Linked DNA regions of Alligator mississippiensis. The main gene of each other region encodes a partner of the protein of the gene in region 4 in a complex. Links are inferred from orthologs where the notes say so. Each region holds a gene or a part of one and is shown on either strand. Other genes may lie near its edges.

What was found.
Region 1: PRPF8 (region 4) and USP39 share a complex: the UniProt entries of both Homo sapiens proteins name them as parts of the U4/U6-U5 tri-snRNP complex. The link is inferred for Alligator mississippiensis from reciprocal best matches to the Homo sapiens genes PRPF8 and USP39.
Region 2: PRPF8 (region 4) and LSM8 share a complex: the UniProt entries of both Homo sapiens proteins name them as parts of the U4/U6-U5 tri-snRNP complex. The link is inferred for Alligator mississippiensis from reciprocal best matches to the Homo sapiens genes PRPF8 and LSM8.
Region 3: PRPF8 (region 4) and LSM5 share a complex: the UniProt entries of both Homo sapiens proteins name them as parts of the U4/U6-U5 tri-snRNP complex. The link is inferred for Alligator mississippiensis from reciprocal best matches to the Homo sapiens genes PRPF8 and LSM5.

The regions. Positions count from the first base shown.
Region 1 is NC_081830.1:10,641,732-10,648,853, reverse strand, and holds the start of USP39 (ubiquitin carboxyl-terminal hydrolase 39), read left to right. Parts: upstream 1-4,115; 5' UTR 4,116-4,117; coding exon 4,118-4,418; intron 4,419-4,502; coding exon 4,503-4,572; intron 4,573-4,906; coding exon 4,907-5,001; intron 5,002-5,635; coding exon 5,636-5,772; intron 5,773-7,122. Other genes in the region: TMEM150A (transmembrane protein 150A), read right to left, coding at 944-1,008; C7H2orf68 (UPF0561 protein C2orf68 homolog), read right to left, coding at 2,272-2,394, 2,916-3,061, 3,176-3,291, 3,459-3,583.
Region 2 is NC_081827.1:48,187,901-48,194,753, reverse strand, and holds the start of LSM8 (LSM8 homolog, U6 small nuclear RNA associated), read left to right. Parts: upstream 1-3,851; 5' UTR 3,852-3,950; coding exon 3,951-3,981; intron 3,982-4,636; coding exon 4,637-4,677; intron 4,678-6,853. UniProt on the Homo sapiens protein: Plays a role in pre-mRNA splicing as component of the U4/U6-U5 tri-snRNP complex that is involved in spliceosome assembly, and as component of the precatalytic spliceosome (spliceosome B complex).
Region 3 is NC_081828.1:129,630,424-129,637,893, forward strand, and holds the start of LSM5 (U6 snRNA-associated Sm-like protein LSm5), read left to right. Parts: upstream 1-4,453; 5' UTR 4,454-4,508; coding exon 4,509-4,554; intron 4,555-6,011; coding exon 6,012-6,107; intron 6,108-6,335; coding exon 6,336-6,363; intron 6,364-7,470. UniProt on the Homo sapiens protein: Plays a role in pre-mRNA splicing as component of the U4/U6-U5 tri-snRNP complex that is involved in spliceosome assembly, and as component of the precatalytic spliceosome (spliceosome B complex).
Region 4 is NC_081837.1:504,372-511,301, reverse strand, and holds the start of PRPF8 (pre-mRNA-processing-splicing factor 8), read left to right. Parts: upstream 1-3,930; 5' UTR 3,931-3,970; coding exon 3,971-4,070; intron 4,071-4,156; coding exon 4,157-4,325; intron 4,326-4,464; coding exon 4,465-4,629; intron 4,630-4,720; coding exon 4,721-4,939; intron 4,940-5,604; coding exon 5,605-5,817; intron 5,818-6,109; coding exon 6,110-6,235; intron 6,236-6,315; coding exon 6,316-6,421; intron 6,422-6,930. Other genes in the region: apoptosis-inducing factor 3, read right to left, coding at 54-135, 227-271, 696-805, 995-1,104, 1,235-1,315, 1,411-1,439. UniProt on the Homo sapiens protein: Plays a role in pre-mRNA splicing as core component of precatalytic, catalytic and postcatalytic spliceosomal complexes, both of the predominant U2-type spliceosome and the minor U12-type spliceosome.

The DNA.
Region 1 (7,122 bases), on a different chromosome or scaffold from region 4:
ACTCCTTGCCACGACACTTGGGTTCTGTGTCCTTTTGTGTTTGTCTATCTCCCCCTCCCTGGAGGCTTGGGTTCTGCATGCATTTAAGTGTCCATCTGTCCCGCTCCTGGATGCCTGGGTTTTGTATGGGTTTTCATCTGTCTACCTGCCCCTTGCCAGGACACCTGGGTTGTATATGTCCTTTCCTGTTTGTCTGTCTGTCTCCCCCTCCTGGATGCCTGGGTTCTGTATGTGGTTTTGTGTCCATCTGTCCTGCTCCTGGATGGCTGGGTTCCATGGGTGTCTTCATGTCTGTCTGTCTTATCTGTCCCTTGCCAGGACACCTGGGTTGTCTGAGTCCTTTTATATTCATCTGTCTCCAACTCCTGGGCACCTCAGTTGTGTGTACGTTTCTGCCCATCGGTCCACCTGTCCCTGGCCAGGCATCAGGGTCCTGTTGTCCTTTCCTATCTATCCCCTCCCCCCCCCCGGACACCTGGGTCGTTTTCCTGTCTCTTCTGTCCTCTTCTAGGACACCTGGGTCTGTGTTCTTTTGTGTCAGTCTCTCCCTCACTCCCAGATGCCTGGGCTCTATGTGCATCTCCTGGCTGGCTGTCTTTCCCTCCCCCCCTCCCTCCCTCCCCCAAGACACCTCCCCGGGAGGGGGAGGGGTTGTCCAACCACCCCTGCTTCACTGCACCCCCTCCAATCCCTCCCATCCAACCCCGACCCAGACATGCCTGGTTGGGGGTGGGGCCTGGAGCTCTGCCTCCCATCCCAGAGCCTGTGCCCAGAGAGGGGAGCTGGGGGGTGGGGATCAACCTCTAAGTGCCCCCTTCCATTAGAGCCCGAGCCCAGGCCCAGGCCCCCTCTGCTGGCCGGAGGTGGCACTGCGGGGTGAGGCGAGGACATGGGGTGGGGACGTTACAACCAGATCTGGTAAGGGCCCCTGGGAGTCACTCACACAATCCAGATGCCGGTGATGGAGAAGGCAGAGAGGCTGATGGGAAGGATGATCCAGGCGGTCATGGGAGGGCCGGCAGGGGGGAGCTGGGGGGTTGGGGGGGGCACTGGCTATTGCCCCGCGTCTCTGCCCCGAAGCATCTGGAGGCTGCGGGGGGGTGGGGGGTAAACAGATTGCTGGACAGATGTTGGAAGGGCCTGGACCCCCAAAGAACCAGGCGTCTGGGCTCCTGCCCCTCTACCCCCCAGCCAGGCAGCATACCCAGGTGTCCAGGCTCCCGATACCCAGCTATGCTCTAACTACTCGGTCTCTCACCTCCACCCCTGGGGAAGGGACCCAGGTGCCCGGACTCCCATCAGACTGCTCCCAAGGGCCCGGACGCCTGAGTTCTCGCGGGGGAGAGGGGAGGAGAATGGGGGCTGCACAGTTGGCTTCCCCCCCCCCCAACTCGGAGGGACTAGGTTGGTGCCCACCCTGCTGCAACCACGTGGCTAACGAAGGAGCCCCGGGAACAAGCCCGGCTGGGGGGAACTGGAGACGCAGTTAGTGGGCAGGCCCCCCAGAGTGCCACCCCCACGAGGGAAAACTGAGGCACGGGGCGGATGATGTCATAGCAGCCCCTCCTCCCCCCAGGGTCACAGCTGGGCCCCAGCCAGGCAGGGGACCCAGGCGTCCGGGCTCCTGGCCCCTCATTGCTCTGACCACTAGGCTGTTCGCCCCCACCCCCGGCGGGAACCAGGCGTCGGGGATCCTGTCACGGGACCCCCACCCCTTACCCGGCCGCGCCGAGTCCACACGGGCCTTTAAAGGGCCAGGCCGGCCCCGCCCCGCCCCCTCCCGCGCGGGGCATGCCGGGAACTAGAGTCCTGCCGCCCTCTCCATGGGACTACAACTCCCGGCGTGCCCAGCGCCGCTGTCCCATAACGTCACTTAACGGGGCGGTGCTTGCATAATGAGCCAGCCAAGAAGGGGCGGGCGCGGCTGCCCCCATCCCCCAGCCCGGACACCTGGGTTCTTTGCTGGGGGGAGGGGCATGTGTGTGCCCGTCCGTTTCCCCGACCCCTTGTCTGCCCACACACTCCTGTTCCTCTCATGACATCATTGTGACCTCATTGTAATGTCACACCCACCATCTCCCCTTTCCACCTGCCCCCAACCTCCTACGGCCTGGCCCCTCCCAGATACCTGGGTCCCCCTGCCAGCACCCCTCTGGTCCCACCCGCTCTGCCTCAGTTTCCTAGGAGAAAACAGCTCTGGACTCCTGTGTTCCCACCAGTGTTTATTGTCTGGGCTGCGGGACAGGCTCAGGCCCAGCGCCCGCTGCCCACTCAAGGCCTGGCCTGGCGCTTGTGCAGCTCCTCCCGCACCCGCTGGCACAAAGCCTGGCGCAGGACAGGTTCCAGCGGGCTGTGGGCGCACACCTGCTGCGCCACCTCCTCAGGGCTGTCATCCTGCGGGGAGACAGGGTGAGAGGTTGCGGCCCCCATGAGCCGGGGCCTGCGGGGCAGAGGGTAGCTCATGCTGAAGCCCCTGGGGGTGGCTGTAGGCAGTGCATAGGCAGGTATGGGGGGGGCACATGCCACCCCCTTGCTGCCGACATGGCTGCGACCAGTCCCCACTCGCAACCTCCCCCCTGCTACCGACACTGTCGCTGCTGACGGTCCCCGCTCGCTGCCGACAAATGGTGTTCCCCCAGTCTCGGGAGGCACCAGTTGTTCATGGTGTTGCCGCCTTCCCATCCCTGCCAGACCCCAGGGACTACAGCCAAGTGCCAACCTCCTGGTGGGCCTGGGGGTTGTGCAGCCAGGTGCCAACCCACCTGTCCAGGGGGTGCACCCTATTGCCCCCTGCCCTCCCACCCACAGGAGCTTGAGACCCCTGCTGGACCCCAGGGCACTGCAGACAGGACCTAAGGCCGCTAGTGCTGTCCTGGGGTGCTGCAGCCCGCCTACCCGGGCACCCTGCCCCTCACCTGGTGGACGATGACGGCTGTGACATCACCGCTGTCGGCTTCGAACTCGAGGCAGAACAGCTCGGGGCCCCGAGGGTCAGGCTCGGGGCTGGAGCTGCTCTCGCTGGAGCCCTCGTAGTCCAGGCTGTAGCTGGGGTCCGGCTGGCCTGGGCAGAGAGGGGCCTGTGAGGGCAGAGGGGCAGCCTCCTGCCCCTAAGCCTTGACCTGCAGCCCCTGCCCCTGCTGCTGCCCCTGCCCCCCAGCCCAGGCGCCGGGCTCACTTCGCCGCCGGGGGTGATACACCTGCTGGTCGGGCTTGCGGGGCCGCGGGGGGGTTGGCGTGTGCCTCTTCTTCACCTTCTCCTTGGCTTGCTTCATCTCCCGGTCGTAGTCATCCCTGCGGGCAGCAGGGCATGAGGCCGGGTGTCTCCCAGCGGTCCCCAGCATGGGGGGCAGAAGCCTCGGGCGGGGCAGGGGTTCTCAACCCGGGGGCGCTGGGGCTGGGGGCACGGGGGACGGATAGGTGGGGGGCAGGTGGGGAGTGCGGGGCACGGCGGGCGGCACCTGGCGATCTGGTTGCGGCGGATACTGCGCACGAAGCCGTGGCTCATGTCCAGCCGCCCGCCCGGCCGCCCCCCACCGCCCCGCTCCAGCTCCAGCTCCGGCTCCGGCTCCGGGGCCGCCTCCATCGGGCCGCCGCCCGGCCCCGCCCCCCGTTACCCCCCCAGGTGGGTTTGGGGACTCGGTCCCCCTCGGGCTGTGCAGGCGGCTAGGGCCGCGCCCCGAGGGGGCGGGGCGGGGCGGGGCGGGGGGCCTGGTGTAGCAGAGACGTCCCGGCCCGAGGGCGGCGAGCAGCTTCTAGGAAAAACGGGAAAAAAGGGGGCGCTGTGTCTTTAAGGAGGGAACTCCGGGGAGAGCAGCGGTCGGCCACCTGGCAGCCCGTAGGGAGCATGCGCAATCTTAGAAAGGCTGCTGGGGGGAGTTAGGGTCAGCTCTGACTGAACATCATTAGGATGTGAGTGCGCATGTACGAGAGACACCAGAGGGGAAATGCGAATCGGATGGAAACAGGGATCCGTAGTAAAGCAGACGCCCACAGGCTCTGCGTGTCGGCGCATGCGCAAAAAGGCGGAAGTAAGCGCTTGGTTCTACCCAGCTCCACCCTCGTCATCGCTGCGGCGCATGCGCAGAGAGGCAACGCGGGCTGTGTTGGGGGTGCGGCCATGTCGAGCCGTGTGAAACGGGAGCGGGAGCGGGAGCTGCGCGCGTCCCCAAGGGGCTCGGCGCGGGGCAAGCGCGAGGCTGACGGGGACTCGCGGGGGGGCGCGGCGCGGGAGCGCGACCGGGGCCGCGCCCGGCGGGAGCCCGAGCCCGACCGCGCGCGCCTGAAGCGCGAGGCCGAATCGGAGCGGGACCGCGCACGGCGGGAGCGCGCCGGGGAGCGGGAGCGCGCCGAGGGGCCGCCCCGCATCAAGCGCGAGCGCGAGGCAGAGGCCGACTCCGACCCGGAGCCCGAAGTCACCGGTGGGCGCGGGGGGCCGGGTCGGGGGAGGGGAGGGGAGGTAGGACGCCTGGGTTCCGCCGCTGACGCGTGTCCGTGTCCTGCAGTGCGCTACGGACGCTTTGACCCCGAGGACCGGCGCAGCCGCCACTGCCCCTACCTAGACACCATCAACAGGTGCGGGGCAGGACCTCACGTGCACAGGGTGCTTGGGCGTGTGCACATGTGTGCATGTGTGGCCACACTGGCATGCACATGTGTGTAGGCTCGCATGTACCACACATGTCTGCCTCGGCATAGAGGCGTGCCCACATGTGCTCCATGACCGCCATGCCCCTATGTGCACGCACCCGCCCAGGCTCTGGAGCAGGGGCAACATCTGCCTCCTGCCGGCCCAGGGCTGGGAGCCGGGGTGCGGCAAGGGGGAGGTCCCAGAGGCGGCCTCAGACAGGTCTGCGCTGGGGCCACCTTCAGGCCCTGCCCACTCAGCCTCTTCCCCATTCACTCCCAGGAGTGTCCTGGACTTCGACTTTGAGAAGCTCTGCTCCATCTCCCTGTCGCACATCAACGTCTATGCCTGCCTTGTCTGCGGCAAGTACTTCCAGGGTGAGTGCTCAAATGCGACTGTGCAGCACCATGCAGGGGGACCGGGTGGCAGGGGCCTGCAGCGGGTTCCTCTGGTCTTGACTCTTCCCCCAGGCCTCACGGTTCAGGAGCCAGCAAAGCTGGGAAGCATAACGCTACTGTTGCTGTACAGTGTGCCCAGGGCGCTCCAGCAAAGCGCTACTTCATTCACACAGCCTAGCTTTGCATGTACAAACATGTGTGCATATATGATCATGTGTGATTGTGAATGCAAATACATGTACGTGTGGATGTGCATGTATACATGCATATATACATGCAAGTGTGCATGTGCACATGCCTATACATAAATCCACGTGCATACATGTGCACGTACACATGCATAAATCCTTGTTTGTGTGGGAATGTATATGTACATGTTTGCATGTATGTGTCTATATATGTATATATACATGTGTATGTAATTGTGTGTGCATGTGTGTGCACTTGTATACGTGCATATATGTACAAAAATCCATGTGCATACCTGTGTATGCATGTCTATGTATGTGTGTACATGTGTATGTGTGTCCGTTTATACACATCTGTGTGTGGAGGTGTATATATGCAAACGTGTAGATGTGTGTGCCTTGACTACTGCCCCTTTCACGTGCAGGCCGCGGCCTGAAGTCCCACGCCTACATCCACAGTGTGCAGTTCAGCCACCATGTCTTCCTGAACCTGCACACGCTCAAGTTCTACTGCCTGCCTGACAACTACGAGATCATTGACTCCTCCCTGGAGGATATCACGGTATGTTTAGGGGAGGGACTGAGACACGGGAGGGACTGGGAGGAGCAGGGGGCACAGCACGAAGAAACCTTAGAGACAACTGTGAGTTCCGGTCAGTCACCAAGGCCCCGCCAGGTTTTTGGTCACAAGGCACAGCCCTAACACACACATGATCTGACAGCCAAGGCGTGCACATATGTTTGTCCATGTCATAGCACACCCCTATTCAGACTCCTCTAGGCTGAGCCAGTTCCCATCCTTTCCCTGGTTCCTTTTCTACAGCCATCCATGCACATGGTGTGTCACCTTCCACTGGTCTCTCGAATATCTGGAGGGATCATGGGCCTCTGGGCTTTACTGGATGGGTTCCCATCCCAGCCTGAGCCTTCTGGGACTGAACTATTCCACCCCTTGTCCAGCCATCCCATGACAGGAGCCCATGCCTGGCTCAAGTGCCTAATGTTGCTTTTATCAGGACTTCAGGTATTGGTCAGGGGCACTGATCAAGCCAGTGCTTTAGCAAAGGCTTTGCACAAGCAGCGTATGTAGCAATCAGTGGTCCAGCCAGGCCTAGGGGCTGGAACAGGCTCTTTTTGCCCATAGCAAATCTCTGCCTATACCTAGGGTTGGATCCCAACTGAGAGCCTGCAGTGTGAAGCAGCTGCACACAAGGTGGATGTGGTTTTGGGAGGCATCAATAGGTGGGTTGGGGCAAGATGCAGGAGGTGATCATGCCTCTACTCTAGATTGCATGCCATTATGGCTTCCACTTTTTAAACACAATGTGGAAATCTGAGAAAGGGTCCAGAGCTAGTGACAAATATGGAGGGCTTGGAAAGCAAGTCCTGCAAGGAGAGGATGAAGGAGCTGGGCTTGGGGGGAAAAGGCACCTAAGAGGCATGATACAGGTGGCGGGGGGAGTGGTTAAGCCTTCTCTAGAGGCACTGGTTGTTGGCTGCAGCCCAGCATGGGGATGGCGACTGGGCTGTACCAGTGCTCCTGCTGGGACTCGAACCATAGCGTCCTGGCTAGAGGATCTTGCCTTTTCATTCATGCTCAGACCACAGTTGCATTTGGGGTCTAGAAGTAATTTCTCCCCCAGTCAGATTGGTATGGAGTGGGGGGGAAGGGTTCCCTTCCTCTGTAGTGGAGGCACAGACTTCCTCGGGGATTTCTGGAGCATCTATTAACAACTCTTTACAGCAGCAGGATGCTGGCCACCACAGCTCCCCTGCTTTCTCTGGAAGGCTCAGAGGTGATGTCTGGTGTTGTGCCAGCATTGTCTTATGGAGAGTTTAGATGATGGATGGGTCTGGGATGGTTTGGACAGTGCTGATCTTGCCTCAGGCAGGGGGTTAGACTAGATGTGAC
Region 2 (6,853 bases), on a different chromosome or scaffold from region 4:
ACCTATCCTACAAGCGCTGGAGTCTGCCGTCGATGGCCAGTCGAGGCTTCTTTCAGTGTGGTGTTATCTTCAAGAAGGGGGTTGCCGGCTGGTCCTTCTGGCTGGACGGGTCGGGTGCTGGTCAAGTGGGAGATCAAGAGGGCGCCCCTGAGGGTCACTTTTCACTGCTTTTTATTTGTCCTTGGCAGACTTTGGTGATTCCCCAGTTTTCAGGTTTGCCCAATCCAGGGGTCATTGACCCTCGTGGGACTTCCCCCCTTGGTGGCTACTGGATGGCATCTGTCAGCCCCAGGGGTTGTCCGCATGTACGTGCAGGTTTGGAAGTCCATTGATGAATTTTGAATAGGGCTCTGGGAGCGGTCGATTTGGAGATATTCAGCCCAAAAGTTGGTCCCCGGCGTTGATTAACTCAGGCCAGGGCTTCTAGCCCTTGAACAGTGAGGTTTAGAGATTTCCCGGTTGTTACATTGGCTTCTATTGATTTCTTCCGTTGGTTGATCTGCAGTTTCCCAGGTGTTAATTGCTGCCTGCTACAGTGTTACACATTCAATCACTGATTCACTCCCTCTTTCAGGGGCCAGCCTGATACAGGGAAGCCAAAGTTTGACTCCTGCCCTTATTAACATTGCTACTAAACACATTTATAGTTGAAAGTTGAAAGGTGAGCAGTATAAAATATAAGCTACAAATGCCATTGCACACAAATAGATAAAAATACCAAAATACACGGGGAGATACAAAATGCACACATACAATTTTTAAAACACAATTCCTTATCTTAAAGTGAAAGAAAGAGGAAGGAAGAAAAGGTAGAAGAGGACAAACTTATTCAAAGAGGGGAGAGCAACTGCAGGCAAGAGGAAAAGGGGGCTTTCTGCTACAGTGCTACACTGCTGGTTCTAGCCCTAGAGGACCATCTGCCAGCCTTGGAGAACCAGAGCCCAGGGCTGTTTCTATATTTTATATTAAGAAGATACAGAAATAGTCCTGGAAAAAGGAACCTGGTAAACTTGGACTCACTGCAGGTGTATGTCTAAACTATGAGGCCACAGTCTTGCTCCCTCCCTTTCTGTACTCCCATTTCTGGCCCAATGGATCCTCAATTATTTTTCTGCACATCAGCATGAGGGATGGTGCCCTTCTATTCCCAGAATAGCCTATGGTCTGTTGTTTGGGTATAGTCCTGAGAGACAGGAGATGAGCTTAGTCCTTTGAAGGAAAGGACGTAAGTGTTGACCTTCAGCAGGTTTTAGGACTATGCATCTGAGTGGATGAAGACACCGGAGGACTAAGATTTAATACTTGCTCCTGTTCTCATCTTTTCCTATTGGGAAGCTCTAGGTTACTGTGTATGGCATCTGTATTTTAATACCTCTTTTGAGCTGCCTATCTCTCCCCTTGTTATTCACATGAAGCCCATGTACTTCCCCATAAAGGTATGGGGACCAGGCTCCTATGAATTAGGTACTGCAGCCTATGTTCTATATGGGCTCTGGTCCGTATTAGTTCAGTCCCCATTTTGCAAAACTAGGTTAATAATTCTTGCCTACCTTATAGGACATGGCTCAGCAGCCTATGGCCTGCAGGCCACATCCAGCCTGTGGGTCATTTGATCCAGCTTGTGGCTGTGGAGCATTAGCAGTAGTTGCTTCCCCTGTCATGGGGAAAAGCAGTGGTGGCACCTCGGTCCCAACTGGATCACTGGCCTATAGCCTAAGCAGGCTACCAACTGCTGTTACAGATTTTTGTTAGGATAAAAGTACATGAAAGATTTCTAGGTGTTAGTATACTGTGGCATTGTGGGCCATGTACATTCTTCCCAATGGAAATCTCATGGGATTCTGACTCCTACAGGGCACTTAATTCTTGGCCGTCTCAAAAAAATTATTTTTATTAAAAGAACGACAGGTACAAAAACAGAGAGGGAAATGTCATGACACAAAAATGCCTTTAGCTTCTTAACTGTAACACATTATAATTAATTCCAATCCTTGTCTAAGGTTTAGTGGCAGCTCTTAAGCTTTTTATAATAAGAGCTTTAAGAGGCTGAGCATTATATAAAGCTCAGGCTGCAAATATATTTGTGCAGTACAGACTGGCATCTTTTCCCATGTTTCTGATTGGAAGGAGAACATAACAGGCCCTCTGATTTTAGAAAAACAAGTTTCTCACCTACTACTGAAGTGCCAGGACCTCTTTGTACATCTATGGTTTTTTTCCCTCTCTCCCTCAAGTAGTTATGAAATTCAATAAAAGAAATACTCATCACTGTCATTTTAATCATTTTCATCACTGTCTGAAAAAGGGAGGACCCCAAACTACCGTAAATGGGAGCTAGACAAAGCTGTTTAATTTGCATCAAAGTAGCTCTATTTATCCAGTAAGGCCTTAACTGAAGGGTATGGCAATAATACTAATGCAAAACAGAAGAATCCAGCTTGAATGCTTACACAGACAAGTACTAAAAAGTTAAGAAGTAACTATGCAATTGCAATGTTGAAGGGCCCTATCTACATTACACATATTATGCAATTTACTGGTTAATTGTGCAATTCATTTAGACCGGCTACAGGTGTAAAGTAACTATCACTCCATAAAAAACATCCTTCCCTCTATAAAGTTAGAGCTTGAGGCAGGAGATGAGCTTATTTCTTTGAAGAAAAGGGTGTAGGTGCTAACCTTCAGCAGGTTTTAAGACTACACCCCCAGTAGGTGAAGACATTGTGTCATAACATTTCCCCTCACTGTTTTGTACCTTTCCTTCTGCAGTCATGAAAGTGTTCCCATGGCGGAGCAGCCCCTGAGGAAGCAGGAGGGTGCATGTAGTGGGGAATACTGCATGACAGCTATGCCCCCTCAGCTGAGAGCCCCACAGCTCCCAGGCCTCCCAGCTGAGGGGGTGCCCCACACTGCCGTGGCAGTGTCCCGTGCACTGCACCAGCGCTCTCAGGGGGTGCACATGCATCCCCATGCACCCCCTATGTGTCGCCACTGGATGGCGTTAAGGTGTGACTGGCAATAGGGTGTGAGTGGACCGGATGCTGGGTCCCAGACACACCTCTTGCCTGGCGACTGTGTGGGTCATACATCAGATCCCATCACACCTTTCCCTAGACATCTGAAGGGGCCCAAATAGTGTTGCCAGGTGTATGATAATTTCAACTCTCCTACGATGTATGATCAGTAATAATAAAAATGGTTCAAAATGTACAGTCATTTTTGAGAAAGCTAATTGAAGCAGCGTATGCAAAAGGTAAGTCACTCTCAGGGAGTCTTACCAACTTTTGGTTTTGCTTTCAGTACTTTCATATTACTGCTTGCCTCAAAATAAAGAGATGCTTCAACTTTGATGACCCAGTTCTCACCCATTCACGGGCAGTGAACAATAGAAAGTAAAGTAAGAAAGAAGACTTATTTGCATACTGTTTCAGTGTACAATAGTTTTTCAGCAAATACGATAATTTTGGGCTTCCAATAAAATAATTTCAGGGGTGTAGGCTGTAGCTGTGTCGCTCTGAGGACATAAGCAGACAAGGCTCTGGGTAAATCCGGTATCTTTCATTAAAGCCACTGAAACTGTTGGACGAATTCTCCCTGGCAAGCCAGCCCCGCCCGCACGCGGACACGTGACGTCAGCACCAGCCTCTGGCAGGAGGGAAAACCCAGTGCGGCACAGCGCAGCCAATTCCCCGGGATCACGCATGCGCAGTAACACCCCCGCGCTTTCTTGCCGAGGCGCAGGTTCGTTTCAGCGCATGCGTATTCAAAACCTTCCCCCTCCCCCCCGCCCCGGTCCTCCAACGCGCCCAGTGTCGCGAGAACAGAGCACAGTTGGCGTCAGCTCCGTTTCCAGAGCGCCGCACTTCCTTCCGTCACCGGAAGTCATTTGCTGCGGGCTGTCTCGCGGGAGCCTGTAGCCGGGGCCGGTGCGGGGCGCGGGAGCTGCCGCCATGACGTCCGCCTTGGAGAACTACATCAACCGTATCCCTCCGGGCCTCGCTCGTGTGGCGTCATGGGGGGGGGAGCAGGCGGGTGCGTGCGGGACGCGGGGCAGCCGGGCCCTGGAGGCAGCGGGTCCGCGCTTGGAGCCCCCATCCGGAGCAGGCTGCGGCGAGGGCGGCGGTGCTCGCGGACCGCCCGCCTCCTGCATCCTCTCGAGCGGAGCCCAGCACAAGGCCGCGCGGGCTGGGGCTCTGTGACCCGACTAGCGGGTCTCACACCTTGCACACAGCCGGACTGAGCTGCCCGCGGGGCCTGTGCTGCCTGCCGCACCCACACAGGCAGCTGGGGGCCCTGTCTGGACCAGCCCCAGGGTCAGGCTGATAGGGCTGCTAGCAGTACATGTCTCCTGCCAGCCCCACACACCATGTGCCAGGCCAGCCCCGGAGTGGGGCGCGCGCTGCTGCGTGGGGGCTGTGGCAGGCGAGCTCTGCGCACAAGCTCTGGCCCGGCCTGAGCCCTCCAGCAGACAGGCCCAGCAGTCCTCATCCTGCACATGGGAGTAGATGAGTTTGACACCTCTAGTTTGGAACATGAAATGGCTTTGCATGGTTTCAAGGCCAAACATTTGAAGGGGGGGGCATTATGTATGCAATGTATTGGATTTTTTTAAGTGTTTCCTTAATGGGCCCGCTAGGCACTGTTGCTGTAATTACCTCGGATGGAAGGATGATAGTGGTGAGACATTTCTTCTTCTCAACATCATGTTGCGTCTCCTCAAAAGTCTTTAGCAACCCAACAGGCAGCACTTAGGATGTAAACGTCAACAGTCAAACCCTGACAGTGTGTGCAGGACCACCAAAAGCGTGTGATATTAAGTGGGGTTGACAGTAGCAGGAAGCGTACACCAGGTGGCAGCAATTGAAGGAGTTCACAAGATGCAGCAAGTTATAAAGACCCATTTCTGTTCTAGAGTCGCACGTTGCACTAGGGGCCACAAAGCCTGTCTACTTCTATCTGTTCATTTTATGAAGGGCTGTGCCCCAACTCTAAATAGAGGGGCCAGGGTTTATAGCCTGCTCCTTTGGTGTATGTTACAGAAGTTCATGACAATACACCTGACACATTTTCTTATCTAACATAAGATATGAAAGAAACACCACAAACACAATCTGTTAAAAGTTAAATAATGATGAGCTGAAGGTAAAAGAGGCTCTATAACTGTGCTCGCAAGTTGAAAAGTAGCTTCAGCCCCTCTGTTCCATCCTCCATTGCTCTCGTAATAAAAGCCTCAATAATAGAGTTGAGTGTGATATGAACAAGAGTGATTGAATATAGTTTATTGGAAGAGATCCCTTTCATTATTGCAGCTTGTGTGCTGTGCCTTATCACCTGAGGGTTTAGCACTTTTTAGCCTGTTAATTCCCCTCTTCTGATAAACTTGTAAAAGCAAATATTTTCTCTTGGCTTCTTATAAAGTTGGCCTGCGGAATTCTGGTATGTACTGTGTATATTGTTGCATCCATTCCCATTTATAGTGAGAAGGAACTTACTCTACCAAATTCTGTATTTAAGCATTATGATTATCATTAAACCAATCAAAGACTCAAAGTTTCTATTTGTGTTCTGTTTCTTAAAAGTTCAGTACTTAGCTTGACTGTTAGCTTTTTTCTCCTGAAATTCAGTCTCTTGTAATGACCTAAGACAAATTTGAGGTGTGATAAATTAAAGGTCTAGTTGGTTTGCTTTCAAAATGATGCAATATGATAGTGTTATTCGTCACTGAAATTGATATGCCAAGCATCTATCGTATAACTTGCACAAAATGTTATCCAAATTTAGAGAACATTGTTTTCAGCTTTCTGCCAGGCATTGCAGTGTGGCAGCCATTTTAACATTTTTGAAGTACCTCGATTTATTTTCTTAGTATTAACTATTAGAAATGTTTCTGCTAATTTAAGCACATGTGACTAATCAACAAACTTTTATGAGTTTTCTTGCTTGTAAATATAAGAAAAAGAGATTATATGCTGTCAGTGATATGCTAATAACTCTTTATTTCCTGGTTCAGTACAGCATCCTGATTATTTTGTATAAAGCCATAGTCTGAAACCTTATTATTGAACATCTTCACTTATGAGGAAGCCAAATGTGATTGGCTTGGAGTACTTTCTACCATTACAACTCATGCCCTTATTTTGCCAAGCCTGTTCCCCATCCTTCAAATCCACTCTCAAGACTCAAGCTGTACATTGCTGAGAACTGTCAGGTTCTGTGCCACTTCCTGTTTAGCTATGTTTTCCTCTCATAGCTACTTTGGATTTTGTTTTCCCATGCCCTTAGGCTGGATGCTCCGTGGGGGTGAGGGTATGTGTGTGTACAAAGCCCATACAGACACTGATTCTGATTGATTTTCTTCTCTACTAAAATAATTTAAGAGTTATTGACTGTACTGTGCATCAGATACTTTATAGCAGTAGTGCTCAACTTCTGGCCAATAGGTGAGATCCAGCCCATGTGGCCATATTATCCTGTCTCTGGGTGTCCCCTGAGGTCCGGAAATGTGGTGGCAGGGGAACAGCAGCAGCGTTAATTGTTTCTTCTGTCCTGTCAAATTTCCAGAGCCATGGGGAGCCTTGTGGGCTGGATTGAACTAGCACGCCAGGGGTTACTTTACAGCTGGATTTACCTGCAGACCAGTCCCTTGCTGGATCAGGCCAGAGGACTGACCACTTGCATGGGATGTGGTACACAGAGCAGCTCCATGCCACTTATCTGGCTTGTGGGGTAGGAAGGCTGAACATCACAGCTCTACAGTAACTGCCTGTTTGTATAATACGTGTAGTAAGTGGTGGCTAACCTGTGGTAACTCATTTCTCTTCCATTGAAACTAAATTATTATGGGTTAGTTTCT
Region 3 (7,470 bases), on a different chromosome or scaffold from region 4:
GCAATTACATAATATTCATCAGCTTCAACAAAAGTTCCATTACATAAGAAATATATTTTAGGGAACAAAAGACATGCTGTAAGGAACTATTCCACACTGGTAGGTGAATGATTACTTATTAGGTCTTTTCAATCACACAGTTCTCTATAATGCTTAGAATAAAGCCAGGAAAGAAAAACATTTATGAAATACTGCCATTATCTTCTCCAGTAATGTGCTATAACCAAAAAGAAGGGCTAGAAACTACCTTTCATATTCAGTTCAGCAAAGAAGAGGTATAGTCTGAGACTGTTTTCACTAGTTTGCAGGTTGTCATAAGGAATCATCTAAGTGAGGTTCCTGGATAAATCTGATTATTGTTTATGAGAGAGGGTTTTTTTCATTGTTTGAAATTCTCCTTCCTGCTAGCTGAGGCAATAAAAAGAACAAGGCATTGTAGAACAAGATGTCAGCTTGTGTAATAAAACAGGAAGCCTGCTGCTGTATTTTAAAGCAAATTGTTGCCATACTCTGTGACTTTTCCATGGTTCACCCTATGTAGCTATGGGCACTTGTGGAAGAGGAATAGAGGTCTGGAAGCTGTCATACACTCAGGTGGAATAATGTCAGGCACAAACTGCTCTGACTTTGTGAAATTTTTCACTCCCTCTGCGCGTAGCTAAGTAACAAAGCACAAATTAGTAACATAGTTCTCCTACCTGCATTGTAATATATTACAGGATAACTGTCAGCAAGTGCAGCATTGGGAAAGTAATAATGACAATCAGGATCAGCTGACTTGATTTTACTTGCAGTGAGACTTGAAACAGATATGCTTTACATTAATAATATGATTAGGAACACATTTCCATGAGCAGTGTGACATTCTTTTCATTGAAGTCTCAAGCATCCATTTTTGAGATAAAGGCTTAATGCACCAGTGACTTTCTGCAGCTTTTCTGTTGGAAAACATTTGACTATGCTTTTGCATTTATCCTGCTTATCTCATGGCAGTGTTACCAATTTACTGTGTAGATATTTATATTTGGGTCTTCCTTAGACAAATTGTGTGGATGTTACAGGAGAGGTGTGACAAGGTGACTTGTCAGGTTTAGCCCCAAGTGAAGGAAAATAAAAGCACAAATGTCACATGATAACCATGTGACTAAAATCCAGGTTCGCTGGGATTTGTGAGCAGCTTGTGATGAGACAGAAGAACTGGTAGAAGACTTGGGGAGTGTGAACTCAAGAATTAGTGCTAGGTGAAGAATGAAAGCTGTTCAGTAAGGTTATGTCTATACCACTTCTCTCTTGACTGGGAAGTAAAGCTTAGTCAGTCACTGCTGCTGGGGGATACCCAAAGCCTGCAATTAGACAATGCAAATGCTAATGAGCGATGCTGAGCTTTTTTGAGGGCATGAGTGCAGACTTGCTTCAGCCCTATTTTGCAGTTTTATATTGCCTAATTGCAGGTATTAGATGTGACCCACTGGGAACAAGTGGGCACAACTAACTTCCCCAGGAGCAGATGTGGGTTCAGGAGAGAAATGGTATAGTTATGGCTTTAAAAGCCATGGAGACTATAGTCTGTGTTAGTCAGGGGAGTTGCTTTGTTTTGATACTATTTATGAGGCTTGTGCTGGAACAATAAATTGTGCCCCAAGGTAAATAAAGCCTTGAAGTTTTTTACTAGTTCCTTTTAGGGTTGGTAAGAAAGCCACCGGCCCAGGAACCTAAATGGGAGATGAGAAGAGTTAGCAAGTTTTACATGATGCACGTCTAAATGTTTTGCAGAATTTTGGAAAATCACAACTTGTTTTCTCAAACATAAGATCTCCATTTGGATATTGGAAGGTTTAAATCTTTATCATTTTCCTTCGTAGTTGAAGGAGCCCTCATTTCATCTCATGAGTGAGATAATGGGTTTTCCTGTTCAAGAATAGGAATGTAATGTCAGGAATATTGCCTTTGTATGTCTCCTTTGTCTATAAAATTATAAATCCCCTATTCTAAAGACATTAATGAAGTGATTCTCAGCCATGGTACCATGAAGTCCTTTCAAGGGTGCTGTGGAGTGCAACACAATGTTAGCACTGGTAGGTGTGCAAACACATATTCATGCTTTACAAGATAAACCCCAGATAGGAATCCATCGTGTCAAAGATATTCTGACCTGTTGTGGTCTTTGAGTTCTTTGCCACAGAAGAACTTCTCTTTAATTTTTCTGTAGTCAAAAAAAGAAGTGAAAGCTAAGAGCTGACATTTTTCAAGTAGTGCCTTGAGTCTAAAAAGGTTGAAAACCACTGCGTTAATGTATATTTCCAAAGGCTGCAGTAGCTCTAAGTGATTGCCAACATCATCATTTGAGTGAACTTCACATGAGAGTGCATCACCTGGATTGGAGGGGTGTAGGTTGTACACCACCTAGATTGTGCATCACCTAGATTGGTTAATTCAGTTTATAGCATGTCCTATGTAGGAACAAGCTGGTACACAATCTTTTTTAAGGCTAATAATCCAAAATGTGAGCACACAACTGAAAAGTGATCCGTAATGACTTGTATATCTTTCTAGGAATGAATAACCAAGACAGTCAGTCACTAACAAACAGAAGTTCCTGGGTGAGTCCTCAATCACACTTGTTTTTGCTTGCATCCAGTTGGGATTAAACTATCTTTCTGTCAGTCCGCATTCTAAACTGAATACCTATATTAAATTCAGGCAACAGCTAGTAGCTTGGCAGTTAAGACATTAAAATTGTGGGTGTGAGGATGCAGCCTTATTTTACACCATTTGTTACTGAAAATGGATTGGAGGCATCATGCTTGTCATTGTCCCATCATAATATTGTCTATTACAGCAAACTTGTTGGGGCATCCAAGAGAAGCGTCCGTAAGCCTTCTCTGCTGCCAGTGTTAACTGTGTTTTTAAGATCAACAGAGATACAGTAGAGGTCAATATCCTGTTTTCTGCATTTCTCTTTATATTTGCTGTGTAAAGATCCTACCTGTTGTGCCTCTCCCTTCTCTGAAATTGCTTTGGTTATACGACAAATGTTTCTCAGCTTTATGGCAACTAAAGTCCATCCAGTAGTAAAACAAACTCCAGGTTCTGTTATCTTCTTTGGACTGATCACTCCAAAAGAAATGTAGGCCATCCCAGACTCCGTAGGTTGACCTTCTCCTGTAAGGCAATTTTCACTTAGCACTAGTGTGTGGTTTCTATAGATGCTTGATTTTTCTGCTAATCATTGCAGTTCATTCTGGCTTAAGTGTCACTGTAAGTGTGTGTATGTTCTGGATCACTTTGTTCAGAGAGGTAAATTTGGCTTTATTTTCACTGGGATACTTATCGGCTGTACAGGCTGACCAGAATACATTCAAAGCAGGCAGCAATTAGGTCATTTTTCTAGCCCCTTTGTCGGACCATAGACGTGAGTAGTGCAGTTCTAAAAAGCTAGCTAGGAAGGTTATTTACAGCCTTTCCTAAAACAACAGTATTAAAAAGGGCTGGTCAGTGTTCTATGGGGGGCTGCTAACTCCACTGCTCCCTGATCCAGCCAAAAAAACCCAACCCCCACAACTGTCCATAGGTTTGCATCTGAAACTCCCAACTGCATTTTTACCTGCACCTTGCCTAACCCTGAAGACTTTCACAGGATGCAGAAAGTTTGCACAAGGTGAGAAGAACTGCAACTATCTATGATTTGTGCTCAGCCGACCTAACGCTTCCAGTGTTGCTCATCAAGGCCCAGCGACAGGAGAGAACACAGTCAAATGCCTATAAACTTAATTATGCAAAAGGCAAGAATTTCTTAGGGTGATAGCTTTTCCTGGAGCAATTATGTAGTTGGCATAAAGTTAGACGAGCTTTCAAACGCAAGATATTCTTCCTCAAGTCTTGAAAGCTGGTCTAACTTTATTTTAACCCAACTGGCTGATCCAATAAGAGCGATTGTTCTAAGAAATCCTTGCTTCTAGCAGACCCTCCGGGCTACGACATCACTCTTGCACTTTTAGCCACACTTTTAGCTTCTCTCATTTCTTGGAGTCTCAGTCCAGCATAGATAGACTCCCTGTGCTGGAAGAAGGGTGAATGCAACCGAAAGCTTGCCAAAAACTTTTTTCTAACTACTTGGTCTAATAAAAGATGCCGCATCTACCCAAAGAAACTTGCCTGCCTTTTGCACTACCATAAACTTAATTCAAAGTGAGAAAGTATTGCCTCCTGCTGCCACGGGTCCCTCCAGACTGTGCAAAGTGGCTGACTTAGGGGATCTGAAAAGCAGAGCATGCACAAGTAAGGACGCAGCGTCCTCTATGCAAGTCTCCCTTGGTCAGTGCCCTGCGTGGCCCTGGGGCCAGAGCATGCGAAAGGGGCTTGGCAAAAGGTCTACTTAATTGCTCCAACATCGATTGATTGAGTCTGGCGGGGGAGGGGGCGCTCCAAGCCATTCAGCTCGCTCCTTCGCATCTCGCTCGGCTTATTTCCCCTTGGAGGCTGTGCGATTGAGCAGGTCTGCTTCCAAAATGGCGGCCAACGCGACGACTAACCCGTCGCAGCTCCTGCCGCTCGGTGAGTGGGTTTCCGCTAGGGTCTAGCGGAGCGGGGAGGAAGCAAAGGCTCTGGTTTCCGCGGGCTCTGGGTGCGTGGGAAGCGCTAGTACTGGCTACAGGGATGGATGGATTGGAGGAGGGGACGAAGCGCGAGAACTGTTAGACCGTTTGCGGGACGCGGCTGGGGGAGGGGAGTCACGTGAGACTGCGCTGCGATCGCGGCTCCCTCCCGGCGTGGGTGGAACGATGATGACGTACGTCGTACGTGGAGTGCGCAGGCTGGGGGGGGGGGGAGGGTGTTACGTGACGCGTGGGAGGGGCGATGCTGCAGCAGGGTGGGGTGGGGACTCTGGCTGTCACTGGACCGGCCGCAGGGTTGTTGTGTGTGTGGAAGTGCTACTTCAGCGGCCCGTTGGCTGTCTGCAGCTGCTTGGTCACTTTTTTATGCTGTGCTCATTACTCTGCACTAGTGGCCAGGCCACTTATTGCACATTTCACCCATGAGTTGTGCAGTATAGGTAACGCGTAGATGGGGCCACGTAAGGATGCAGCTCCCCTCTGGAAGATGTCTGTCCAAAGGCATTTTGGCCTGTAAAAGGTTTCCTCCCATATGCTTCTCTTACAGAGGCAGGAGGGAAAAACGGAGCTCCCAAACGATCCCGTTCTTCCCTAGCTAAAATTCTGCTGTCCCAAAGATTTTTTTAAATGTGGATTATACCTTCTAAGAATGTATTATTTAATTTATCTATCTTTGTTAATGGCAGCACTGCTCAACCTTTGGGACCCTCAACCTCATCCCAGGCCGGATGCTGCGTGGGGTGGTTGTTTTGGACTGGCTGCATGCCAGCCTGACCCCTGTCTACCCACTCTGGCCATGGGCTGGCCTGACCCCACGTGCCTAATCTAGCCGTGTGCAGGCTCAGCCCTGCACGCAGAGCCACAGCATCCAGCTTGCCAGGCTTTTCCCAGGTCTGGAACCTTAGCAGTAGGAAAGGGGCTGCTAACACTGCTACTGCTCCAAATTTTGGGGCCTGTGCAAAGACCTATGTGCCAGATGACATTACCTCATGGGCTGGTGGTTGAGCATCACTGGTTAATAGGATGTAGAAAAAAATGTAAAGATTAAATGTAAACATAAACCCTATGTGAATTGTTATTTAGATTTCTATGCAGCTGGATCTGGAAAGTGCTTAGCATGTTGGGTACTGTTGAAATTGATTATCATTAATAGTAATATTACTAAAACTTCATTCCAAAGTGGGCTCGCTAGGGTTATATAGTACTCGGTATGCCCTTGTGTTGTGTATATAACAGTGGATATCCAAACAAAAGCTATTTTTATATGTATTGGTCTGTCAATGTTTCTGGCATTCTGTTTGAATGTGCACTTGTTTATCCTCACATTCTGTAAAAGGTGAACATTAAAAATAGATGTCCATTTATTCTATATGATGACAAATGCTTTTAAATTTGCAGAGCTTGTGGACAAATGTATAGGCTCACGTATTCACATTGTGATGAAGAGTGATAAAGAAATTGTTGGCACGCTCCTAGGGTTTGATGACTTTGTCAGTATCCTTTACATGAAACATTTTCAGGGTATCAATTTTTGTGTTTGCCTCTTCAATGCCTTTACATGTGTTTTAAGTTCTTTCCAACCTCCAAACATTTTTGCACTGACAAATATGCTACTTGAAGTTGGAAATAAAAAAGGCATGGCTTTTGTTATGAAATGAAAATAAACTTCAGTTTAATAACTTTATGTTTTCTGTAGTTTTATTCCTTGATCCTAGACTTCAGACATGGTTTTAGAGGATGTTACAGAATTGTAAGTATTATATCTTTCTTGGCTATTTTAACTTCGTTGTTTTCACATGCCGAAAAATTCTAACAAAAGAATATATACTGATTTCTGGAAAGCAGAATTCCTATTTGGAGGAGGATGGTGGGGCATGAGGCTTCTTGAGTCTGGTGTGTGTGGTGGAGGGAGGCGGGGGAAGATCCTCAAGAAAGTGCTCACTGTCACAATGCCCTGTAGAGCACTGTGGGAAGGTGGAGAACCCAGACATCTCCTGTCATGCTCTGCAGAGCATGCCACTGTAGTAAAAAGTGCTTATGGAAATAATCTTGTTGGAAACAAGTACTATTGAGGGTTCCACCATTTTTATTTTTGTTTTAGTACATTAAAAGAAGTACATGCCTGTTTGGCTTGCTCTTCAAAGATAATTGAAGCATCTCAACATTACCTCTGTCCGCACCCCTAAGCCTCAGTTTGAAAGTGTATATATTACTGTCCAGTAATTTTTCAGTCACCTCTTAAATGACTATATTAGGAGCGTACAGCTTAGGATCCACAGGCAATGCTTATCAATTTATCCTAAAAACTACTCCTGAAGAAAGAGAAAAAATTAAATATAAACCTTTCTCCCCCCAGTTGTTTGTTTTTTCCATATTTGACTGAGTCATTTGACAGTTAGTTATTATTCAAGCTAGGGCATTGTCTGAAGATCATTAACTCTGGGGCATGCCATTTTGAAAGTTTTATGTCCTTCTGCTCTTGAACATGTTAGGATTTTGGTATGTGACTAGAAGGGTGAGGAAGATTGGCCAGCCTTGAACTGTGCATTTCTGGTGGAAAAGTCAGTGATTGAGCATGGATACCTCACCAGTATCAATGCTATGTACGTTCTTCTGTGGTTGAGAGGAGGCTTTTGTTTTGGCATTTTTTTCCTAGATGGTAGCTGTATGTACCCTGCCAGCTACTGTGTAGTGTAGAGATCCCTAACTTAGTGTTAAACAAGTTACCTTGGGTACCTGAACCAGTTTACTCATGGCACCAGTGAGCTCTTCTTACCCTGCTGAAAGCACTGTTGATATTCCTTAGTGTTTGCTACAGAAAAGAGTTTCTGTAACTGATGTGCTTAAATGGAGTAAA
Region 4 (6,930 bases):
GCTGGGGAGGGCTCAGGCCGGGGTCCCACTCGGGCGCACCCTGCCCTGCCCACCTCCGCCCAGCAGCAGCACCGTGGTCTGGTTGATCCCGCAGCGCTTGCTCATGTCCTTCAGCCTCCGGCTGCTCTCCAGGTCCTAAAGGAAAGCGGGTCAGGGAAGGCAAGCGGTGGCCCTCGCCCTACGCTTGGTTGCGGCTGCAGGGGGTGGGGGACGACGAGGCAGGTACCTTTCTCCTGGCAGTAATGAACACCTTCCCATCTTCCACTTTCACCTGCGGGGACCGGAGGAGAGTGGGAGGTCAGCGCTGCACTGGCGCTGCCAGAGGCCCTGTGGGCCGAGGCGCGGTGCCGGGACGGGCCAGGCAGGCTCTGCTAGGAGGACCTGGAGCCCCAGTGGTACCGACGGACTGGGAGCAGGGCACAGCCTCCGATTCCCCTGGGGCCGTGGGCTTGCTTTGCACGGGAGGTAGCTTTGTGCATCATCCCCTGGCGTGGGCTTCAGCATGGGCACCTGGGTCTGGTCCAGGGACCCCCAGGAAGCGGAGAAGCCCCACGGTTACAGGAGCCAATGCAGATAGCTGCAAAGAGCCTGGGCAGGGCCCGTCCGGACACCTGCCCAAGCAGCCGGGGCTGGGCTCGGCTGGGACAGGGTCGATGCCCGGGCACGGCGACGGGGTGCAGCCAAGCCACAGTCACCTGGAAGCAGGGCAGGCAGTCCAGAGTCGGGTACTCCTCGATGTCCCCGGTCTTGATGTCAAAGCAGGCGCCGTGCCAGGGGCAGCGCAGCCGGTTGCCCTTCAGCACTCCTGCGAGGCAGACCCGGGCAGAGGGTGAGCAGTGGGAGCAGAGCTGGCTCCAGGACTCCCGTGTGCCTGCTGCGCTGGGCAGGGGCACAACCCCGCGGGGGTACGGGGGCAGGCGCGGGCGTCCTCCCCGATCCCATCGGGGGCTGCGGGGCTGTGGGGCGGCGTGTGGGGCGGTGGGGCTGCCCTCACCTTTGCAGAGGGGCGCTCCGTAGTGCGGGCAGCGGCTGCCCAGGGCCCAGAACTGCGTCCCGCTCCGCACCAGCAGCACCGGGAAGCCGGCGACCTCCACCTCCCGCAGCCTGCGGGCACAGGGCGGCGCGCTGAGCAGCGCCCCGGGCACGGGCACGGGCACGGCCAGGGCTGCCCAGCCCGGCCCGGCCCGGCCCGGGGCACCCACCGTCCTGCCGGGCAGCGCGGGGGGGCACTCACTCTCCGTCGCACACGTCGCACTCGCGGCACACCTCCTGCGTGACCGTGCCCGGGTCTGTGTCGCCGGCGGCTGCCTGGGGGCTGCGCCCGGGGAGGAGCGGGGTGAGCGCGGGGCGCGCCCGGCCCGGCCCGGCCACACCCGGCTCGGCCCCCCGCCCGCATCTGCGGATACTCGCCTGCTCCCGGGCTGCGGCGCCCTGTCCATCGCGGCCGGCCGAGCGCACCCGGCGGTGGCGGGGCGAGGCGGGGCGGGCCGCGCTACTTGTAGCCGCCGCCGCCCACGGCGCGTCGCCTTGCACAAGGTGCGGGGCTGCACCGCGCCCGCCGCCCGCCCCCCCGGGCCGTCACGTGCGGAGCTCCCGGCGGGGCGGGCGGGGCGGGGCGGGCTCCCGGCATACCCGGCTGCTGTCGCCCGGGCTGAGCCGGAGCAGCGGCCCCGCACGCAGCTCGGCCGGGTGGGGCGGAGCGGAGCGGAGCCTGGCCCAGGTGCGGGGGCTGCGGGGCTCGCCGGCCCGGGCACACGGAGCCCCCTCGGGCGGGTGCGGGTGCGGGAGCCGGCTCGTGCCGCTGTGCCGCGCTGGGCGCCCCCCGGCTCCCCGCGTTGGCCGCAGGAGTGGGCCGGGAAGGGGCTGGAGCCCGCCCGCAGGAGGCCCGCCAGGCTCGGCCGGGCAGGGGCCGCCTCTCCTGCGGGTCCCGGGGGGACGAGACTGCTGACTCTGCTTGCAGAAGCTGCTTAGCTGCAGAGAAAGAAGCAGCGCTTCTGGTTCTCCGACTTCAAAGCCCAGAGCCAGGAGCTTTGTTTTGTTTTGAATTTAATTTGTATCCAAGGCCAAACCGGCCAAACCCAATTCCAAATCCGAGCGCAGAACTGGAAGCGGCGCTGCACCGCCGCACACCCTCCTCCTGCACCTGGGGCTTCAGACGTTTCCAAAACCTTTGGCGGGCGTCCTACTTGCAGGCCCAAGCCCAGAGGTTTGGGGCTTGGATGCCCCCAAGTTTTGCTTGCCCTCAGCCATAAGACCCCAGGAGCAAGCAAGGGACGAGACCTCCCGTTCCCGTAAACTGGGCTTAAAGCTGCTGCACCTCAGTGGGTGCTGAACCACGCCAGAAGAGCAGTTCTCCCTCCTGTGGTGCGGTTCAGGACAACGGCCGTCTTGGACACAGCTACGCGCTATCTCCCCTGCCAGGTTAAGCAGCCGCCAGCTTGTCCTGAGCCTTCAAGAGGCCGAGACGTGCAACAAGGTGCCAATGGGAGGCGTAAATCAGAGACGTAGCAGCTGCGGGGACCAGGACCTTAACCGAGACAAATGCATCGTCTGTACGGCAACCCTGGCTGAGCGTCTGTCCAGCTCCTGGCTGGGGACAGCAAGTGCTTTGGGCACTACTGGAGGGATGTGGGAGCCAGGGTCGTCCAGAGGACGTGAGAGAAGCCAGGATGTTTTGGGGTGCTCTCTCTTGCTGGACAAAAGATCCAACGGAAGACATCGCCAGTGTCTTTCAGCATCGCCGCCGGGGAAGGAGGGCTGCACCTGTGTCGGGGACGGTGTGAGCGAGCCCCGGGCGCGGGACGACCCGACAGCAGTAGCTCCTGAGCGAGCAGCAGGCAGGGGTGAGAGCGTACGACCTGGGCTGCACCTCCTCCTGCTCCCGCCGCCGGACGCGCGCCCCTGCGCTCTCGCGCTCCTCCGGCCTTTGCCAAGGCGTTTGAGTCGCTTCCTCCTCCAGGGTCGCGGGCTCTCGAATGCTTCCCGGTGCCTGCGAGCTGGTCTAATAAAAGGTGTCGTCCCTGAACCAAGAGCTCTGGAGTTGTGCATTCCCCCATGCTGGAGCAGCTGCAGAGACGCGGCCGCCAGGAGCGAGCCGGTCTCCGAGGAGCGCTCGGGGTCGGGCTCTGGCTTTGCCCCGCGGCGGGGGCCGAGCTCAGACGCCCGCACCGGTTCACAAAGCCAAGAGCTTGTTTTGAGCAGAGCTGGGATAAAAAACCTGGGGATTTGCCCGATGCAGGCAGCTCCTGAGGGCCTGCAGAGAGGGCTGGGAGCCGCGCTGGAGCGGGGAGGTGACTCATGGGAGTGTGGAAATAATCTGGCTTGAGCTGACTCGTGACACGCGGATTACGACGGGTGTGAGATGCCCGGCAGGCAAGCCGCTCGCTGGGCTTCACCCACACAGACGTGAGCGGGGCGTGCGCGGGACGGCTGCTCGGAGCTGCGCACGGCGCCACGGCCCTGCCTGCGTTTCGGGGACGGCGCCGCCCCTGGAGGCTGGCCAGGCGCTGCGGAGAGCAGGGCCCAGGGGACGGCATGGCAGTGGTGCTGAGCCCGGTGGCTGCAAGGGGAGCGTGGGGCGCACGGGGGCATCCTGGGCACGGCCCCCGTCCCTTCCCCTCGCCGCCCGCGGGAGTCACCCGCTCCCAGGCTCCTCGCGCCCGGCCGCACGTGGCCGCACGTGGCAGGCGACACCCGCGCCGCTGGGGGGCGCTCACGCCCACCAATCAGGGCGAGCCCTGCTGGGGTCAGGCCTGTCCCGGAAGTATATCCTAGCGCGCGACCCCCCCTCCTCACGCCCTCCTCTTCCGGCCAGGGCGCCCGCCTCCTCCCCGCGCGAGTGCTCTGATAGGCTGCCCTTCCTCTCCGTCTCGCAACCCGAGAGCTCATTGGTGCAGGCGCTGCCCCGCCCCCTGGCTGCATCCGGGTGCCTGGCGCGGGCCGCCATTGCGGAGCGGAGCGGAGCGGGGCCATGGCGGCCGTGTTCCCGTACCGCGCGGGCTGCGCGCCCGTGCCCAGCCCGCTGGCGCCGCTGCCCGACTACATGTCTGAGGAGAAGCTGCAGGAGAAGGGTGCGTGGCGGGGCGGGGCCGGGGGGGAGGGGCGTGGGGGGCAGTGGGGGAGGGGCGGGCCTGACTCGGGTCTCGCGTGTCCGCAGCCCGCAAGTGGCAGCAGCTGCAGGCGAAGCGCTACGCGGAGAAGAGGAAGTTCGGGTTCGTGGACGCGCAGAAGGAGGACATGCCGCCCGAGCACGTGCGCAAGATCATCCGCGACCACGGCGACATGACCAACAGGAAGTTCCGGCACGACAAGCGGGTCTACCTGGGGTGCGTGTTGCGCTATGTTGCGCTGCGCCGTGCGGGGCGGGCCGGGCCGGCGCGGTGCCGCGTGCGGGAGGCGCGCCCGTGCGGCGGGAGGCACCGTGCGGGTGGCCGGGCGGGTTGTGACGGAGCGGTCGTGCCGCAGGGCCCTGAAGTACATGCCGCACGCCGTGCTGAAGCTGCTGGAGAACATGCCGATGCCGTGGGAGCAGATCCGAGACGTGCCGGTGCTGTACCACATCACGGGCGCCATCTCCTTCGTCAACGAGATCCCGTGGGTCATCGAGCCCGTGTACATCGCGCAGTGGGGGTGAGCCGCCGCGGCCCTCGGGCCTGGGGGGTCTGGGGCGCGGCTCGAGCCGGCGGGGCGGGCCGTGTCTGATGGTGTCGGGTTGTGCCAGGTCCATGTGGATCATGATGAGACGCGAGAAGAGGGACCGGCGTCACTTCAAAAGGATGCGGTTCCCCCCCTTCGACGACGAGGAGCCGCCTCTCGACTACGCCGACAACATCCTGGACGTGGAGCCGCTGGAAGCCATTCAGCTGGAGCTGGACCCGGAGGAAGACGCCCCCGTGCTGGACTGGTTCTACGACCACCAGCCCCTGAAGGACAACAGGAAGTGAGTACCCTTTCTCGGCGGCGCGTTTCACTGCAAAGCGTCGTGCGGCGCCGCCGAAACGTGGCCATCGGGAGGAGAGCAGCAGACGCCGTGCGCAGCGTGGGGCGCGGGGTGGGGGGACCGGAGCGTGGAAGCTGTCCTGGGCCCTTCCGCGTCTGCGGAGAGCTCGCGGGACCCGGACACTTGAGGTTGCTCCTGGCCAGACGTCTGCAACGAGATGAAACTCGGCGTATCTTCCAGGGAAGCACGAAGGACTGAATCTGGAGTCAGAGCAGCGTTTCGGGAGAACTTCGTGCGTGGTATTTAGACAGTGTTGTCTGCTGTGAACGGGCCGGCTGCGTTATGCTTTGGCCAGCCAAACCTCCTGGGGAAAATTGCATTGGCACGTTGTGCTGTCTGGCAGGTTGCTTGCTACAGTCCCAAGCGTTAACATCTAAATCTTGGGTATAGGGGTAGAGAGGGGAGTTTGCACGGTAGCAGGTGGAGGTGCGCGTTGTCTGGAGCGGACTGGAATAAATACGCAGTCTTCCCTCCTTTTGCGGAGGGAACGGCGAGATGATTCGCTTTCCCGTTTGCAGTAAGTGGGATGGGGCAGAGAAGGCGCTTGAAGGGTCGGTCGCCTTCTGGCCTGGCGGTGACTGGTCGGCGCGGTGCTTTCCTTGCAGGTACGTGAATGGTTCCACATACCAGCGCTGGCAGTTCACACTCCCCATGATGTCCACCTTATACCGCCTGGCCAATCAGCTGCTGACAGATCTTGTGGATGACAACTACTTCTATCTGTTTGACCTGAAGGCCTTCTTCACTTCCAAGGCCCTGAACATGGCTATTCCCGGGGGTCCCAAGTTTGAGCCTCTTGTTCGAGACATTAACTTGCAGTAAGTGCTGAGCTGGGGACAGGAGGGAAGATGGGCGCTGCCTGGTCTGGGAGTGGGATCCTCAGTGTGCTGCGCGATTTGTCCCAGGCCAAATGCTGTTGGGCGGCTCCTGGCAGCGAGGTAGTCGTGCATGTGGGTAGGCGCTTGTTTCTTTAGAGGCTGCGTCGGTATTGGAGTGGGGGAGGGGGTAGAATGCGAGGGCGCTGCAAATGCTGACCCTGCCGTTTTGGTCCCTGACCTTTGCTTGCACTGCACTCCGCATTCTCACCGGATGGCCTCTCTCTTCTCAAAGGGATGAAGACTGGAACGAATTCAATGACATCAACAAAATCATCATCAGGCAGCCCATCAGGACAGAGTACAAAATTGCTTTCCCTTACCTATATAACAACCTGCCACATCACGTGCATCTGACCTGGTAAGTACAGCCCTGTCTGCTGCCTGGGGTGTGGAGAGTTTGTCCAGGCAAGACGCGCTAACACTTTGCACGTGTTGCAGGTATCATACGCCAAATGTGGTCTTTATCAAAACAGAAGATCCGGACTTGCCAGCTTTCTACTTTGATCCATTGATCAATCCAATCTCTCACAGGCACTCTGTCAAGGTGAGTTACTGCCCGTGAGCCAGGGGGGCACTGGGCTGGGAGAAAGGAGCCCTGGCTTGGAGCCTTGTGTAGACCTCGTGTTGAGGGAAGGGCTTTGGCGTAGCGTAATGACTTTGCCTCACGTGGTAGCCAATGCAAACTGCCAGGGAAAATGATAGGCCTGTTTGTAAAAGCGTTGCTGTTCGGTGCTGTCTGTGAAGGGGCGTGATCCTTCCTGGCCCCAACCAGCGAACAAGGGCGTGATTCCAAGCAGTGGGCTGATCATCTCTCCGGCACCGCAAATGAGTCTGGTTCACGTACAAATCTCTGATCTCTTCTGAGCTCCGCTAACTTGCTTCTGCCTTCACAGTGTGCACCTGTGACTTCCACAGTGTAGTTCTAGCATAAGCTTTGTCTCTGTACCCACTCCTGGCACCCTGTCAATCACCGAATGTGCGAGTAGGACCCCATACGTATACTACTTTGCTGACATATAAAATAGGGGAGTCTACTTTTTTTTTTGCTCTGGT